2 linked regions of the Elephas maximus indicus genome follow. The protein of the gene in region 1 interacts with the protein of each later gene in a pairwise test. Links are inferred from orthologs where the notes say so. Each region holds a gene or a part of one and is shown in the gene's direction. Other genes may lie near its edges.

What was found.
Region 2: the proteins of HOXA1 (region 1) and RGS20 interact in binary tests that used the Homo sapiens proteins (3 or more experiments, as listed by UniProt). The two-hybrid records come from large-scale screens. The link is inferred for Elephas maximus indicus from reciprocal best matches to the Homo sapiens genes HOXA1 and RGS20.

The regions. Positions count from the first base shown.
Region 1 is NC_064826.1:88,263,923-88,271,119, reverse strand, and holds HOXA1 (homeobox protein Hox-A1), read left to right. Parts: upstream 1-4,309; 5' UTR 4,310-4,370; coding exon 4,371-5,016; intron 5,017-5,493; coding exon 5,494-5,849; 3' UTR 5,850-6,686; downstream 6,687-7,197. UniProt on the Homo sapiens protein: Sequence-specific transcription factor. Regulates multiple developmental processes including brainstem, inner and outer ear, abducens nerve and cardiovascular development and morphogenesis as well as cognition and behavior.
Region 2 is NC_064833.1:86,221,009-86,229,006, reverse strand, and holds the start of RGS20 (regulator of G-protein signaling 20), read left to right. Parts: upstream 1-4,985; coding exon 4,986-5,134; intron 5,135-6,997; coding exon 6,998-7,016; intron 7,017-7,998. UniProt on the Homo sapiens protein: Inhibits signal transduction by increasing the GTPase activity of G protein alpha subunits thereby driving them into their inactive GDP-bound form.

The DNA.
Region 1 (7,197 bases):
CTTTTTCTTCTTTTTAGTCTAACTTGGTAAATAAAATTCTAGTCACAATTTATCTTCTTTTTCAATTTTAGTACGTTTATTAAGGGGCATGTTTAAAGTCTTCTTTAGACAGCATCAACAATAACAAAAGAAAGCCAGAATATGGCTACAGCTTCTGAGAAATGTTTTTTGTTTTGAAGGGAATAGATTTGGTTTCAGCGTAGAGGTTCTAGCCACAGATTTGAATGGGCAATAGAAACAGGATGGGGCAGAGAGAAGGGCCAAACTGAAGCTTTTCAAAGTGGAGAAATAAAGTGCCTACAGAAACCTCCCACTCCAGCAAAGAGGAACGTGGAGTTTCTTTAACAAGCTACCAGTCTCCAGGTCAATAACTAAGTTACCAGCAATTCATTTATTTGTACACGTTTGTTTAAAACATCTACATTCCAGCCCCTCCCCCACAACCCCCCCTCCCCACACACACATTTTCAGAGTGGTTGATTCCTCTCCCAGCTGTTGATGGGTTCAGGCAAACAGACCTAAAAACAAAAATACGACAAAACAATGGTTACTAGCTAGAAAGCGCACTGCAGAAAGTGTTCTTTTCAATCCTCTGGTTCTGTCATTCTAGTATTCTTTTTTTTCAGGGTCAGAAAAATCAATATTTCATTCTTCAACCTGTTTACATTGCAAATAATGGATCATTAAAGCTTTGAAGCCAGGTTAGCAAGTCGAGATTTAAAACGGAGTGTGTTTCTGCACTCTAGGTTATGAATTAACCCAATTTCTAGAGAACGAAAAAATAAGCACTTTAAATGGTACATCAATAAAATATGATCTAGGGTGTGTTATTGGGCTGCTCTTTTTTTTTTTCTTCCCCTTTCTTACATGTTCCCATGTTTATTTTTTCCTTTCTGAGCTCTGTTCTGCAGGCTACTTACTTACCGTGAGAAAATGTAGCGTGTAAGCAACATGTGTGGTGCCGGTTGATTTACCAACCCGGCTTTTAAATGCAAAGGCTTGGAAGTTACAATGAAATCGCGATTTTTCTCCAACCATTTGCTCCCCACTTTCCCCCCGCCCCTTTACCCCCTAAATTCCGGCAGCGGCGGGGTTGTGTGGAGATTGCGCCGGGTTTCCGGGCCCCAGACGCGGCGCGGAGCAGGGCGGCTCAGCCCCGGCCAGGGCTGCGCGGCGGCTGGATGCGATTCGTCCTATGCTCATAAATCAACCGCTTTCTATGAATGAGAATGTCATCAAAGAGATCAATTGCAGGAACACATGCACAAATAAAAATCCTCTTACGTATTTGCCGGGGATCCCCGTCCGAAAGCATTAAGTTAGAAGGCGTTTAGTCATAATTCATTTTTATTGCTCTTTTAAAACAACAGCTTGGCTGAGCCGCGGATGCCCTGAACAGCTCCGGGCCTCGGCGGCGTTTTGTTTCCTCCTCGCTCCTTCCCTGTATAGTAGAAGAGCCCTGAAAGAGGTGCTTTGAGCCCAGGGAACCTACTGTGGGAGATTATTTTAATCGTGACCAAGCTCGCCTTTCACCCACTCCTCCCGGGCGTTTCAAAGACATTAGCTCGAGGCTGGGCGCTGGCCTGCGAGCCCAGAGGGCCAAGCGTTTCCAATCCTGTAGACCGGGTCCCAGAATTTCTTGGAGGGGGTGGGGAGGTAGGGAAGGAACCGAGCTACGGAAGCCTACGGGCTTGAGGCCAGGGGAGGCTGCCTTTGGGAGCCGCCCGGGGAGAGCGGCGCTCCCGGCGGCCGGCAGAGGAGGAGCCCGCTCGGCTTAGAGAGCCCGGCCTACCGGAGCTGAGCGCAGAGAAGGGATGGTCACCGGCCCGTGTGTCTGCAGGCCTGTGTGCGAGTGTACGCTTCTGACCCTAAGGAAAGGAAGAAAAACAAACCCACCCAGGCTGTCCCCGAAAAGAAGCTAGGAGAGAAGAAGAGAGGTGGAGAGAGAGGAGCACGGAGGCCTGGTTGCTAGAAAAGGAGGATGCGTGACTGTGGCCGAGGGCGGCTTTGTAACTGGCACCATGCGACGGAGGGGTTCGCGAACGCTCGGCCGGAGGAGGCCAACGGAAGTATAGAAATGAGGCCGGGGGGAGAACGTACTGAGGAGCTTAGGCCTGAAGAGCAGATCGCCCGCACAGCCAGCACAGATCCTCCCTCCCCCTTCCCCAAGGGGCGCCTTCTCTCGCCATTCCCCTGAAGGCCTGGCGCTCTGAAGGAAGCCGCTTCCAGGAGGGTCGCCCTGCCTACTCCCTTCTACTGGAGGAGGTTCCCCAAGAGCTGCATCTGGAGCGAGTTCCCCGGGAGCTGAATCTTACCTTTCCTGCCTGTGCCCCCTCTTAACTACACATGGGAAAGGGTCAAAGATCACTGAGAAATACCATTTCAAAAGGAAGTGTTTGGGGGAAAAACGTCTCTTTGCTACGAGGAGTTCAGAGCCAAAGGTCTGCATGGGTTTTCCTTCTTGGGGAGGCAGGTTTTTTTGCGGGGGGGGGGCGGAGTCTCTATATTTGAAGAACAGAACACAGAAGCCTGAAAAGGTGACTAACACCTTTGAAATGTACCTACCTCAACCAAACTTAGTTCTTTTAAACTGGGGGAGGGGAAGCAAGAGGAGAGTGGGAAACGCAAACCCACATGTAATCCTCACAAAAAAATTCATCTGTCGGATTTGATGTTGTAAACATAGAGTAAAATCTATAGGGCATTGGTTGCAAAACTTCTTGCATGGTCTCTAGATTTCTTCTACCTAAGAATGCATCAGTTCTCGGCCTCGGTTTGGCCTTTTCTCTCCACTAGCCCAGGGGTGTCGCCAAACCTAATAGTAAACACCAATTAACGACCCCATCAGCATCAGAGTAGGACGAGGGTGATGGAGAACAGGACCCCTGGCCCGAGATGACGCTCAGATTTGCACGCGTCTCTCTAGGGAAAGACTAGATGGCTAATACAAGCAGCTACGCAGTCAGTTGGAAAGGGGAGGAGATGGTGCTGGGGAAGAGGCAAGTGTCCAGTCCACCATCAGCCATCTGTCTACCGCCTCTCCCACCTGCCAGCCCCCACCCCTGACGTGCAGTAGAATGTAGGGGGCGGGTAAAGGAGGCTCTCCCACTCCTAATATTTTCCTTCCAAAAAAGAGGAAGGTGGCGGGTGGGGGGGGGGATGTTTTCTTGGAGCTGTGGTTCTCCCGCCCTTTGAGGCTCCCGCCCGGGCACGCAGACTCCTGGGTCCTGGGGAGCCCGCAGATGGCCTGCAGCGCGCGGCCCGACCACCACGCTGGCTACGTCCGCTAGCGTCATCTCTTTCCCCCGCCTCCTACGCCTCAAAATCTAGTGGCAGAGTTGCTGGGTTTCCCGGAGGGCTCCCGGAGCAAAGCTGAGTGGGGAGGAGAAAGGGGCGGAGAGCGAGGAGAGAGAAAGGGCGGAGAAGAGCCCCGCCACCCTAGGCCTTTTCCTGCAAACTCGGCAGCAAGCGCTCACCCGCCCCTGGGCGTCGAATTACCGAAGCTCCTCATTGCCATGCTAATGGCGAGGGTGTGGGGCCGGAAGGCCGCTACGGCGACCGGGGAAGGGGGAGTTTCTTTTCTTGCCCCCATCCCCTCCACGCTCACCCCGGGTTCCTCCCAATCAGCTCTCTGCTCACTTCCCTCTCTGCTTGGAGCTTGGAGATCCGATGGCCCAGTTTCGCCTCCGCCATCGTTCTCAGCGCTCCTCCCGGCCCCAAGGTCCCACAGCAGGGACAGTACAGTGAAAACGCTAGGAGATCCTGGGGCGCGGCTCCGGCCCAGTGCCTACCCTTCCGGCTCCGAGCGCTTCGCTCTGGGCCCGCGTACCTGCGGCCGCCCGGCGAGTTCCAGCCCACTGATTCCCGACCCGAGAGAGCGGGAGCCCTTTCGCCTTCTCACCTCTTGCCAGTTCATCTTCCTGTGCACGACGGGGAGGGGCACGGAGCGGGGAATGCCCCCCAGCCCCCACCTCCAGGACGGGGGGCGAGCGGAGTTGGGCGTGCGCTGAAGACAGCCGCCCCCCTTAGCCCCAGCGCTCCGAATCCGCTGTTTGCAGACACCGCAGCTGCTGCCGCCGCCTGGGCTGCCTGGGGGGGCGATTGCGCGTCACCTAGGCGGAGGAGCGCCGGGGATTTAAATGCCACTGAAACGGTGATCCATCACTGCTGGAGCCTGCAAAATTTCGCAGGAGGCTCAGCCATTGGCTGACATAGTCACGTGCCCCTCCCCTTGCTCCCTCGGCCCTCCCGCCGCCCCCCCTCCCGCTCACTGTACATTCATATCATTTTTCTTCTCTGGCCCCATGGAGGAAGTGAGAAAGTTGGCACGATCACCCAGGGCGTCGCAGGATCCAGTCACTCAGTGACAGATGGACAATGCAAGAATGAGCTCCTTCCTGGAATACCCCATCCTCAGCGGTGGTGATTCGGGGACCTGCTCAGGGCGAGCCTACCCCTCGGACCATGGGATTACAACTTTCCAGTCGTGCGCGGTCAGTGCCAACAGCTGCGGCGGCGACGACCGCTTCCTAGTAGGCCGGGGGGTGCAGATCAGCCCACCCCACCACCACCACCACCACCACCACCCCCAGCCGGCCACCTACCAGACTTCTGGGAACCTGGGGGTGTCCTACTCCCACTCGAGTTGTAGTACAAGCTACGGCGCACAGAACTTTGGCGCGCCTTACAGCCCCTACGCATTAAATCAGGAAGCAGACGTAAGTGGTGGGTACCCCCCGTGCGCTCCCGCTGTTTACTCTGGAAATCTTTCATCTCCCATGGTCCAGCATCATCACCACCACCAGGGTTATGCTGGGGGCGCAGTGGGCTCGCCTCAGTACATTCACCATTCATATGGACAGGAGCACCAGAGCCTGGCCTTGGCCACGTATAATAACTCCTTGTCCCCTCTCCACGCCAGCCACCAAGAAGCCTGTCGCTCCCCTGCGTCGGAGACATCTTCTCCAGCGCAGACCTTTGACTGGATGAAAGTCAAAAGAAACCCTCCCAAAACAGGTCAGTCCTAGTCTACTGCCAGCCGATGGATGCTCCTTGATGATACTACAAGGGGTTGGTATGCTTAATTCTCAAGGAAAGTTAATAACGGTCTTAAAAAAAAAAAAAAAGTTCTTGCTTAACACCGGTGTTGTGGGGCAGGAGATTGCCCAGGTGTGTTGGGGCACGGAAGCTTCTGGGACGGATGCGTTTTCAAAGGGACTGAGTTTGAGAGGTTCTGGAAGTAGCAAGTGAATGAGTGTGGGTTCTGTTAATATCTCAGGTTCCATTAATCACGGGGTCTGACCAAACTGATGGTTGACTTCAGGTTAACGCCTCACATCTCATCACTCACCCTCCCCAGCCCGTTTTGTGCCCACAAGTTCTTCATCTCTCCTTTACCTGAATGTTGCTCTGAAGCGTGTAGGGGATAAATGTCCCTCATGTCGATTTAATTTTCTTACCTTTTTCTCTCGTCGCATTCCATCCTGACCCCAGGGAAAGTTGGGGAGTACGGCTACGTGGGTCAACCTAATGCGGTCCGTACCAATTTCACGACGAAACAACTCACGGAGCTGGAGAAGGAGTTCCACTTCAACAAGTACCTGACGCGAGCTCGCAGGGTGGAGATCGCCGCGTCCTTGCAGCTCAACGAGACCCAAGTGAAGATCTGGTTCCAGAACCGCCGAATGAAGCAGAAGAAACGGGAGAAGGAGGGCCTCTTACCCATCTCTCCGGCCACCCCGCCGGGAAGCGATGAGAAAGCCGAGGAATCCTCAGAGAAGTCCAGCTCCTCACCCTGCGTTCCTTCCCCGGGGTCTTCTACCTCAGACACTCTGACTACCTCCCACTGAGGGCACCCCAGCCCCAGACTCTGTAGTCCAGGTTTCTCCTTGGGCTGGGACTTCTAACCCAAAGCACATTCTTAGCTTACCTTCCTTTCCAGTTCCAGTCTCTCTCTTCCTTTCTGGTCCTATATGGGGAGCTTCTGGCCAGGTTAATGTGTTTCTAGAGCATTCTAGACCAGAGACTTTGTGGGGGGTTAACTTCTTAATCCAGATCGGGTGCCAGCATCAATTTTCTGATGGCCCTTAACAGTTCTACCCACTTTTCTATTTTTACAGAACCTACTGTTCTTTTGGATCCCCTTTGGAAAATAGTTCCCTTTGCCAGCAGAAACATGTCAGAGGACAGCCTCTCATCTTTTACTTATCTGTATATTTAGTCCTCCCCTACCCTGATCTTAAAGGTAGGCTATATATATATATACACACACACACACACAGAGTCTAGGAGCTCATGAAGAAGAGATGCACTATGAGCATGTTTACACAATTCATCCCTTAATTTAATTCAATTTCATGTGTGTGAGTTTGCTGGTTGTAAATACTTTGTCCTGAGAGATTTATCTTTATACAAATTTTCTAGAAATGTTTGGATTAAGTGACTATAACAGGGTGGGCAAACTCAAAGCTGGTACAATTTTATATGTGGTTATAGGTAAAAGAATACATTCTCATTTAAACCCAATCAGATGCTTCAGAGAGTAGCCTCAATTCATTTTCAGTGAGTTAAGAAGGTCTGCCTACAGAGCACAAGGTTCAGAAACCTGGCTTCCTGTGCTGTCTCCCCATCCCTTCCCCTTCTTGTTTCACTGGCCGCCCCCCTCCACTTAAAATTTGTGCTGGATTATTCTGAACCTAAAGGTATTCAAACCAGCTTCTTCCTTTCGCAGTTATCTTAGCTGGATATGATGTATTTTCAGCTTAGTTGTTAACGTGATGGATGGCTCAATGAATGTATATTTTGTGTGATTCGTGAATCGTCTTTTGCATGTCACACAATGTTTTGATTTCCCTGAAGTACCACACTGAGTTCTGTCAGTTTTTTGTGAGCCTGTGGTACTCCCCATTTCCTGTACAATCATGAACAGCTCTGAGATTCTGAAGTGATGTGATCAGAGCAGAGTTACGGGTCTTAAGATGTCTGTAATAAATATATTGAAGTTTCAGGTATGCTTAAGCATCAGTGTATTTGCCTGGGCTATAATTTGTTAATTCCTACAAACTGGATTCATTTCATGTAGTGAGAGAGAGAAGGGTGGTATGTTTTTTCCAAGAAGTTGTCCTTTTCTTGAATAAAAATGAATGCTTCCCACTATCATGTAGCTGAAGCTTCTCCCATGAGTGTAATTTCACAAGA
Region 2 (7,998 bases), on another chromosome or scaffold:
AGCAAACCTGGTGACCCTTACCCTGGTGAGCCTTCAGATGATGCGGCCCTGGCAGACACCTTGTTTGCAGCTGGTTGGAGACCCTGGGCTGGAGGACACAGCTGAACTGAGCCCGGATTCCTGATCCACAGACACTGTGAGATAACAACATTGCTTTAAAGCACTAAGTTTTGGGGGTATTTGTTATGCAACAACAGATAACTAATACAGTCACCATCACTAAAATAATAACAATATTTAGCACTTACCAGTAGTTTATTATGTTCCAGGCACCATAACATGCCTTTTGTATATGTTGCAAGTGAAAGAAAACAGATTAAGCTAGCTTAAGCAAATAGAAATAATATTCTTAAAGTAATACTTTTTTATTTTAGTGAGGTTATTGATCATGTCCACCACCCATCTTTCAGTTTCTCATACTGTGGTGGCTTGCGTGTTGCAGTGATGCTGGAAGCTATGCCACAGGTTTTCAAATACCAGTGAGGTCTTCTGTGGTAGACAGATTTCGTGGAGCTTCCAGAGTAAGATAGATTATAAAGAAAGACCTGGAGATCAATTTCTGAAAATTAGCCAATGAAAACACCAGGGCTTACAGCAGAATATTGTTTAGTATAGTGCTAGAAGATGATCCTCCTAGGTTGGAAGTCACTCGAAATACATAGGGGCCACAACAATGGACTTGAGCATACCCACAACTGTGAAGATGGCACAGGCCTGGGCAAAGTTTCATTCTGTAGTACACTAGGTTGCCATGAGTCAGAGACAACCCAACAGTAAATAATAATAACATTGATCACGTAAATGAAAAATCTAGGTCTTGACCATCAAAGATGGTGAATTGCTCAAGTGATGTCAGGCACTTTCTTTCTGCATCTAACTTCTGGTTCTCAGTGAGCTGGGTTTATTCTTGGCATCCTTTATCCAAGTACGGGTAAAGATATACACACCAAGAACACCACACTTATAGGCTACCAATTTAGCAGACCTAAACAAGCACTTCTTTTCTAACAGATTATCAAAAGTCCTAGGACTGACTCCATTGGGCTGGTTACACGCTTGGCATTGAGCAGTCACTGTAGGCAGAAGGATGGAATTTACCGACAGCCCATGTGTGTGTTGTGTTCACTGACCTGGAGCTGGATACAAGGTTCAAAAAAAAAAAAGAAACCAAACCCGTTGCCGTCGAGTCAATTCCGACTCATAGTGGCCTTATAGGACAGATTAGAACTGCCCTACGAAGTTTCCAAGGAGCACCTGGTAGATTCAAACTCCTAACCTTTTGGTTAGCAGCCATAGCACTTAACCAGTATGCCACCAGGGTTTCCAGGTACAGGGTCAGCCCTATCTAAGTAACAGGGACTGAGAAGGGAATAGACACATGACCCCAAAGAAAACTAGGATGCTGTTATCATAAAAAAGAAGAGGACGTGAATGGTGGATGAGGAAAAAAAAAAAGACATCCACTACATTTCACCTCTAGACAACTCAGTATTGACACACACACTTCTCTTTTTTTTCATATACAACCTTTCAAAAATGTTCCCACTTAACATATCCTACATGAAATTAAAAATGTATTCATCTTATTCCAGGGAAGACAACCTGAAGTCTTTTCCCGTATTGTGTCTGGCTCAAAGTCAAGGGTCATTTAGTGATTTGCAATCCTCGTGGTCTAGTCCACGTGTGGGTCTTTATGGCTGCCAACTCATGGTGCAGTGCTAAATCTACCACCAGCACTCTCAGCACACAATGATGGAGGAGAACAGTTTGGGTCCATGGTACACAGCCAACTCTGCCTCTTTCGTCAGTAGAACAAGTTCCTTGATCCACAAGTCTGAACTAGGACTAACTGCACCATCTCAGAGGTCTCCCTGTCCTGACAAGTCCAGTAACGGCATCTGAGATGAGCATCTGGGAGGATTTCCCTCTCTAGTTTTGAACATCTTTAGCCTCCTTCGCCTAAGGGAAGAACTTTGGTTATGATTTGCCAGTTTTAGAGTTTTTCTGATAGTTCAACTCCATTAGCACTTCACTCCATCTGCTTTCTATTCAAATCCATTTGTTTTCTATCCATCTCTTGAGCTAGTAAAGAAGTCAGAGATTTTCTAGATTAATAGCCCGCTAATCTCTTCTGCTCGGATGCTTACATGTCTTAGATACAAGCCTCTGAACTCTGTAAACTCCACTGACTGTTTAGAAAATGCCCTTTTACCTGGGGTAATGCATAACAGTGGCCTAATGTCGGGGAGACAGAGCTCTCATCTGTCAGCACGATAGGCAGCTCTTTATAGGAAATGGACCAGAAGTGCTTGGGAGGGGCCTAAGGATTCAGTTTTTTCCAGTTTCCCACATTTTCTCCTTCTTTGTTTCTAGCCATGCTCTCACTACCATGAACACTAGCTTGATCCACATTCCTTCTTCTGCATGTGGAAATCTAGTTGTCCCCGCACCATTTGTTGAAAAGGCTTCTTTCCCCATTGAATGGACTTGGCACTTTGTCAAAAATCAATTTGCCAAAGAAAGACACTTAGAAGAACACAAGGAAAAAAAAAAAAAAAAACAACCACAGCTAATACCATAGCATATACAACTGTACAACAACAGTAAAAACAAATGAAAATTTACAAGCGGATACATAAGATATTCATATATATAGTAAAGCCCAAAGGTGGCACAGTCATAAAAGCCTCCCAGACACAACCAAACATCTTGAGGAGCCAACTTACTGGTGCTGAGGGCTGAGGACCATGGTCTCAGGTAACATGTAAGTCAATTGCCATAACATAGTCCATAAAGAAAATGTTCTGCATCCTACTTTGTTGAGTAGTGTCCGGGGTCTTAAAAGCTTGCAAGTGGCCATCTAAGATACATCTATTGGTCCCATCCTATCTGGAGCAAAGGAAAATGAAGAAAACCAAAGACACAAGGAAAATATTAGTCCAAAGAACTAATAGACCACAATTACAACAGCCCCCACCAGTCTGAGCCCTGAAGAACTAGTTTCCAGCTACCACACAGACCACTCTGACAGGGATAACAACAGAGGGTCCTGGACAGAGTGGGAGAAAAATGTAGACCGAAATTCAAATTCACACACACAGAGACAAAATAGACTTACCGATCTGATAGAGACTGAAGGAAGCCCTCGGCCTATGGTCCCAGACACCCTTCTAACTCCGAGCTGAAGCTAAGCCCAAAGTTCATTTTTCCAACGAAGATTAGACAGGCCTGTAAGACAAACAACAGCACATGCGAGGAACATGCTTTTTAGATCAATGAAATACAAGAGACCAAAAGGGGTAACGCTGGCCCAAAAACAAAGATGAGAAGGCGGAAAGGGACAGGAAAACTGAACGAATGGAAACGGGGAACCTGGAGTGGAAAAGAGGAGAGCGCTGACCCATTGTGGGGATTGCAACCAATGTCATGAAATGATTTGTGTATAAACTTTTGAATGAGAAACTAATCTGCTATGTAAACTTTTATCTAAAGCACAAATTAAAAAAAAAGCAATTTGCCATATATTTTGACCAAAGACTCTACAGAAGAGTCTTGATCAAAAGGGTGAAAATGCAGAACATAATTTCAAATTCTCATGAAATCCAGACTTTCTAGAGCCATGGCGGCTGGATGAACCACCAAAATTCTTGCCCTGAGATAATTTTTAAACCTTAAACCAAAACTATCCCCTGAAGTCTTTTTAAAACCAAACAGTAGTTTATCTTAACAACTATCCTTACAGCAGTACCGTGCTCTTTTGATTACTGTGATTTTATAGTACCTTTTGAAATTGGAAAAGTGTGAACCCTCCAACTTTGTTCTTCTTTTTCCAGGGTTGTTTTATTTTGTTTTTTTGGCTTTTCTGGGTACCTTGCAATTCCATAATAATGTTATGATCAGTTTGTCCATTTCTGTAAAAAGGCAGCTAGGATTTTCATATTAATTGCTATAAATCTGTACATTAATTCGGGAGTCCCAGGCACTTCCATAAAAGAAAAATTTCTTCAGCTCACAGTCCCCAGTAATCAACAGGTGGAGCCCTTACCTTTGTGCACCTTAAACCCCACAGAGTTACTTGGCCATTAGTCACATCGTAGAGAAATGTGTTATGTGCTGTGCTTTTTTCACTCCATTTAATATTCTCATATTTATAAAGGAAACCCTGGTGGAATAGTGGTTAAGAGCTACAGCTGCTAACCAAAAGGTCAGCAGTTCAGATCTACCAGGCGCTCCTTGGAAACTCTATAGGGCAGTTCTACTCTGCCCTGTAGGGTCGCTATGAGTCGGAATTGACTCAACGGCAACGAGTTTATATTTATAAAACACTTTACAAATATAAAGTATGGTATTAGAAGCTAATTCTTGGTTTCATCATTAGGTGACTAGTTACCACATAAGAAAATCACCTTGACTAATTTTACATGATGTAAGTAAAAAAAAAAAAAAAAAAATTTTTTTTTTTTTTTTTAAGTAAAAGGCGTAACAATGCTTGGGCTTAAGTTTAGAATATGAATTTAAGATTAGTTTCTAGCTGCAAAATTGGCTGCTATTAAAATGATCTTTTAGGAAACCTAAAAAATTAGGCTGAGCATCTGCCTATCAATTGCATAGCCCAAGATTGTCAAGTACAATTTCCTCACACACATTACTAATACAGAATTTTGTCAAGCAATCTCTGTCTGTCTTTATCGTTATACCCTCAGCTGTATATCACTAGAATCAGTTACTTCAGCAGGTTTGAATTATGAATGCATTCCCGCCTTTAGGGGGCAGTCATGGTAAACCCAGACATTCAAAGTAAGAGGTTCTGCACCAGCAATGAGGACTAAAGATCTGTGGTTAAGCTACTGATCCATAAATAGATAATCCTTTTGCTTTGACTACTGCAAATTTCCAAGAAGGCTGCCAGCAGACTGAGAAATGCCTTAGCGTTAGCCAAAGGAAGAGAAAGAAAGGGAATTCTGCCCTGTTGTTTTTATTAAAACATGCCCAGCCTTTTCCAAGACAACCAAGAGGGCCTTCAGAAACACTGTTCCAGGTCATCTACGTGGAAGTTTTTGCCCTTGTTTAGGGCTGAAGGATATAATGCAACCATCCACCGAACCCCAGAACACGAAGAGGACACCAAAGCTGTGCATCACTTCAAGGTAAGATGACCTCTTTACAATCCATGATTCTTTCTTGACAAGGAGGAGGATTTATCCAGAAAGAACATAAAATCATAAACAAGCTTGAGTGCCATTGCTCACTTGATTTTACTGAAGGTTTACCACCAGGGGAAAACTATATTCGTGATGACAATTACCTGATACGTCCAGTTTTCTTCAACCTCAGCAGCGTGCGTTTATCAAGGCAAGCCGTTACTCGTTGCTTTTTTGTTTTGGGAGATGCTGTTTTTCAAAGCAGAAAACCTAGCCATAGATTGGGTGGCTATTGATATTAACCCTTGGATATTTTTCTCTGATGTAAAGATTTTATCCTATGTAGTAATGAATGAAAAAATGTATACTGCTTTTTATAAAGACTGCTAGAGAACAAAGTCAATAGACTGATACAAGAACATAAGAACATTAAGGAGTTAAGAGGATTTTTTTTTTTTTCTAAATTCCAAGTAATTCCTAAGACAGCATGACTTTCTACCATTAGACAGATGATGACCCCAAAGAGTGGCAATTTTACTGCTCAATGTAGTGTGTGTCTTGTGGAAAGCACCATTTAAGTCTGTAAATCCTCTTAGCTATTAATAGAACCAAAGGGTTATTTTGGTGTGGAGGGGGGATGCCCAGGTGTTAGTGTCTAACAAATAATGGTCAGAGCTAAAAGTTAAACGCTGCAAAATTAGACCACAGCAAAGGGTAAAGCATTCACTTTAACACTAAAAATTCATTTGCCCTTGTGCTGTGGCTCATATCCCAACGATAATCATTCTTTATTTGCAGACGCTATTTAATTCTCTTGATCTGCCTCTTCCCCTGATGTTATTTTAACTAATTGGCACAAGCAGAAAAAAAAAACAAGTTAGAAAAAATTTTTTTAATTATGTGGAGGTCTTTTATGTGTTTTTGACCTTTCAAATATACGTGAATTAACAAAGTCACATGAATTTCCATGCCACCCTTATTATCACTGTGGAAAAGAAATGCCTAATAAACTGCTTCCATAAAGATTATAGCTAAGAAAGTCCTGTGGAACAGTTCTACTCTGTAACACATGGTGTCTCCATGAATCAGGGCTTAACAACAATCAACAAACTATTATCCTATTATCAAGTAACTAAGCACTAGGACTTGAAGAAACCAGAATGAAATAGGATCTAGTGACCGAAAGTCCTTAAGTGATGGGCATCTAAATGTAGGCAAGATGTGCGCTGCTGCTGTATGGTGCTGCCGAGTTGGTTCAAATTCATCACCACCCTATTTACAAGAGAACAAAACACGGCCCGGTGCTGCACCACCCTCACAATCATTGCCGTGTTTGAGCCTGTTGTTGCGGCCGCTATGACTCTCTACCTCGTTGAAGATCTTCCTCTTTTTTGCTGACCTTCTGCTTTACCAAGCATGATGTCCTTCCTGATAACACGTCCGAAGTACATGAGACAAATCTTGCCATCCTAGCTTCTAAGGAGCATTTTGGCTGTACTTCTTCTAAGACAGATTTGTTTGTTCTTCTAGCAGCGCATGGTATGCTCAATATTCTTCGTCAACACCAAAGCTCAAAGGCATCAGCTTTTCTTCAGGCTTCTTTATCCACTGTTCAGCTTTTGCATGCATGTGAGGGGACTGAAAATATCACAGCTTGGGTCTGCCACAGCTTAGTCCTCGAAGTGACATTTTGCTTTTCAACACTTTAAAGAGGTCTTTGCAGCAGATTTTCCCAGTGCAATAGGTAGTTTGATTTCTTGACTGCTGCTTCCATGGGCATTTATTGTGGATCCAAGTAAAATTAAACCCTTCACAATTTCAACCTTTTCTTCATTTATCATGATGTTGCTCACCAGTCCAGTTGTGAAGATTTTTGTTTTCTTTATGTTGAGGTGTAATCCATACTGAAGATAGTTGTCTTTGATCTTCATCAGTAAGTGCTTCAAGCCCTCTTCGCTTTCAGCAAGCAAGGTTGTGGCATCTGCATAACACAGGTTGTTAATGAGCCTTCCTCCAACCGTGATGCCATGTTCTTCCTATAGCCCAGCTTCTCAGATTATTTGTTTAGCATACAGTTTGAATAAGTATACTGAAAGGATACAACCCTGACCCACACCTTCCCTGATTTTAAACCACACAGTATCTTCTTCTGTTCAAACAACTGCCTCTTGATCTACATACAGGTTCCTCATGAGCACAATTAAGTGTTCTGGGATTCCCATTCTTCTCAATGTTATCCATAATTTGTAATGATCCACACAGTTGAATGCCTTTGCATAGGCAGCAAAACACAAGTAAACATCTTCCTGTTATTCTCTGCTTTCAGCTAATACCCATCTGACATCAGCAATGATAGCCTTCATTCCGCATCCTCTTCTGAATCCTGCTTGAATTTCTGGCAGTTCCCTGTCAATGTACCGTGGCAACCATTTTTGAATTGTCTTCGCAAAATTTTACTTGTGTGTGATATTGATGATATTATTCGATAATTTATGCATCCTGTTGGATCACCTTTCTTTGGAATGTGCACAAATATGTATCTCTTCCAGTCGGCTGGCTAGGTAACTATCTTGCAAATTTCTTGGCATAGACGTGTAAGCACCTCCAGCGCTGCATCCATTTGTTGAAAGATTTCATTTGGTCTTCTGTCAATTCCTGGAGCCTTGTTTTTCACCAATTCCTTCCGAGCAGCTTGGACTTCTTCCTTCGATGCCGTCAGCTCTTGATCATAAGCTACTTCCTGAAATGGTTGAATGTCAACCAATTCTTTTTGGTACAATGACTTGTTATTCCTTCCATCTTCTTCCTGTATCCTTCAATATTTTGCACATAGAATCCTTCAAAATTGCAACTGGAG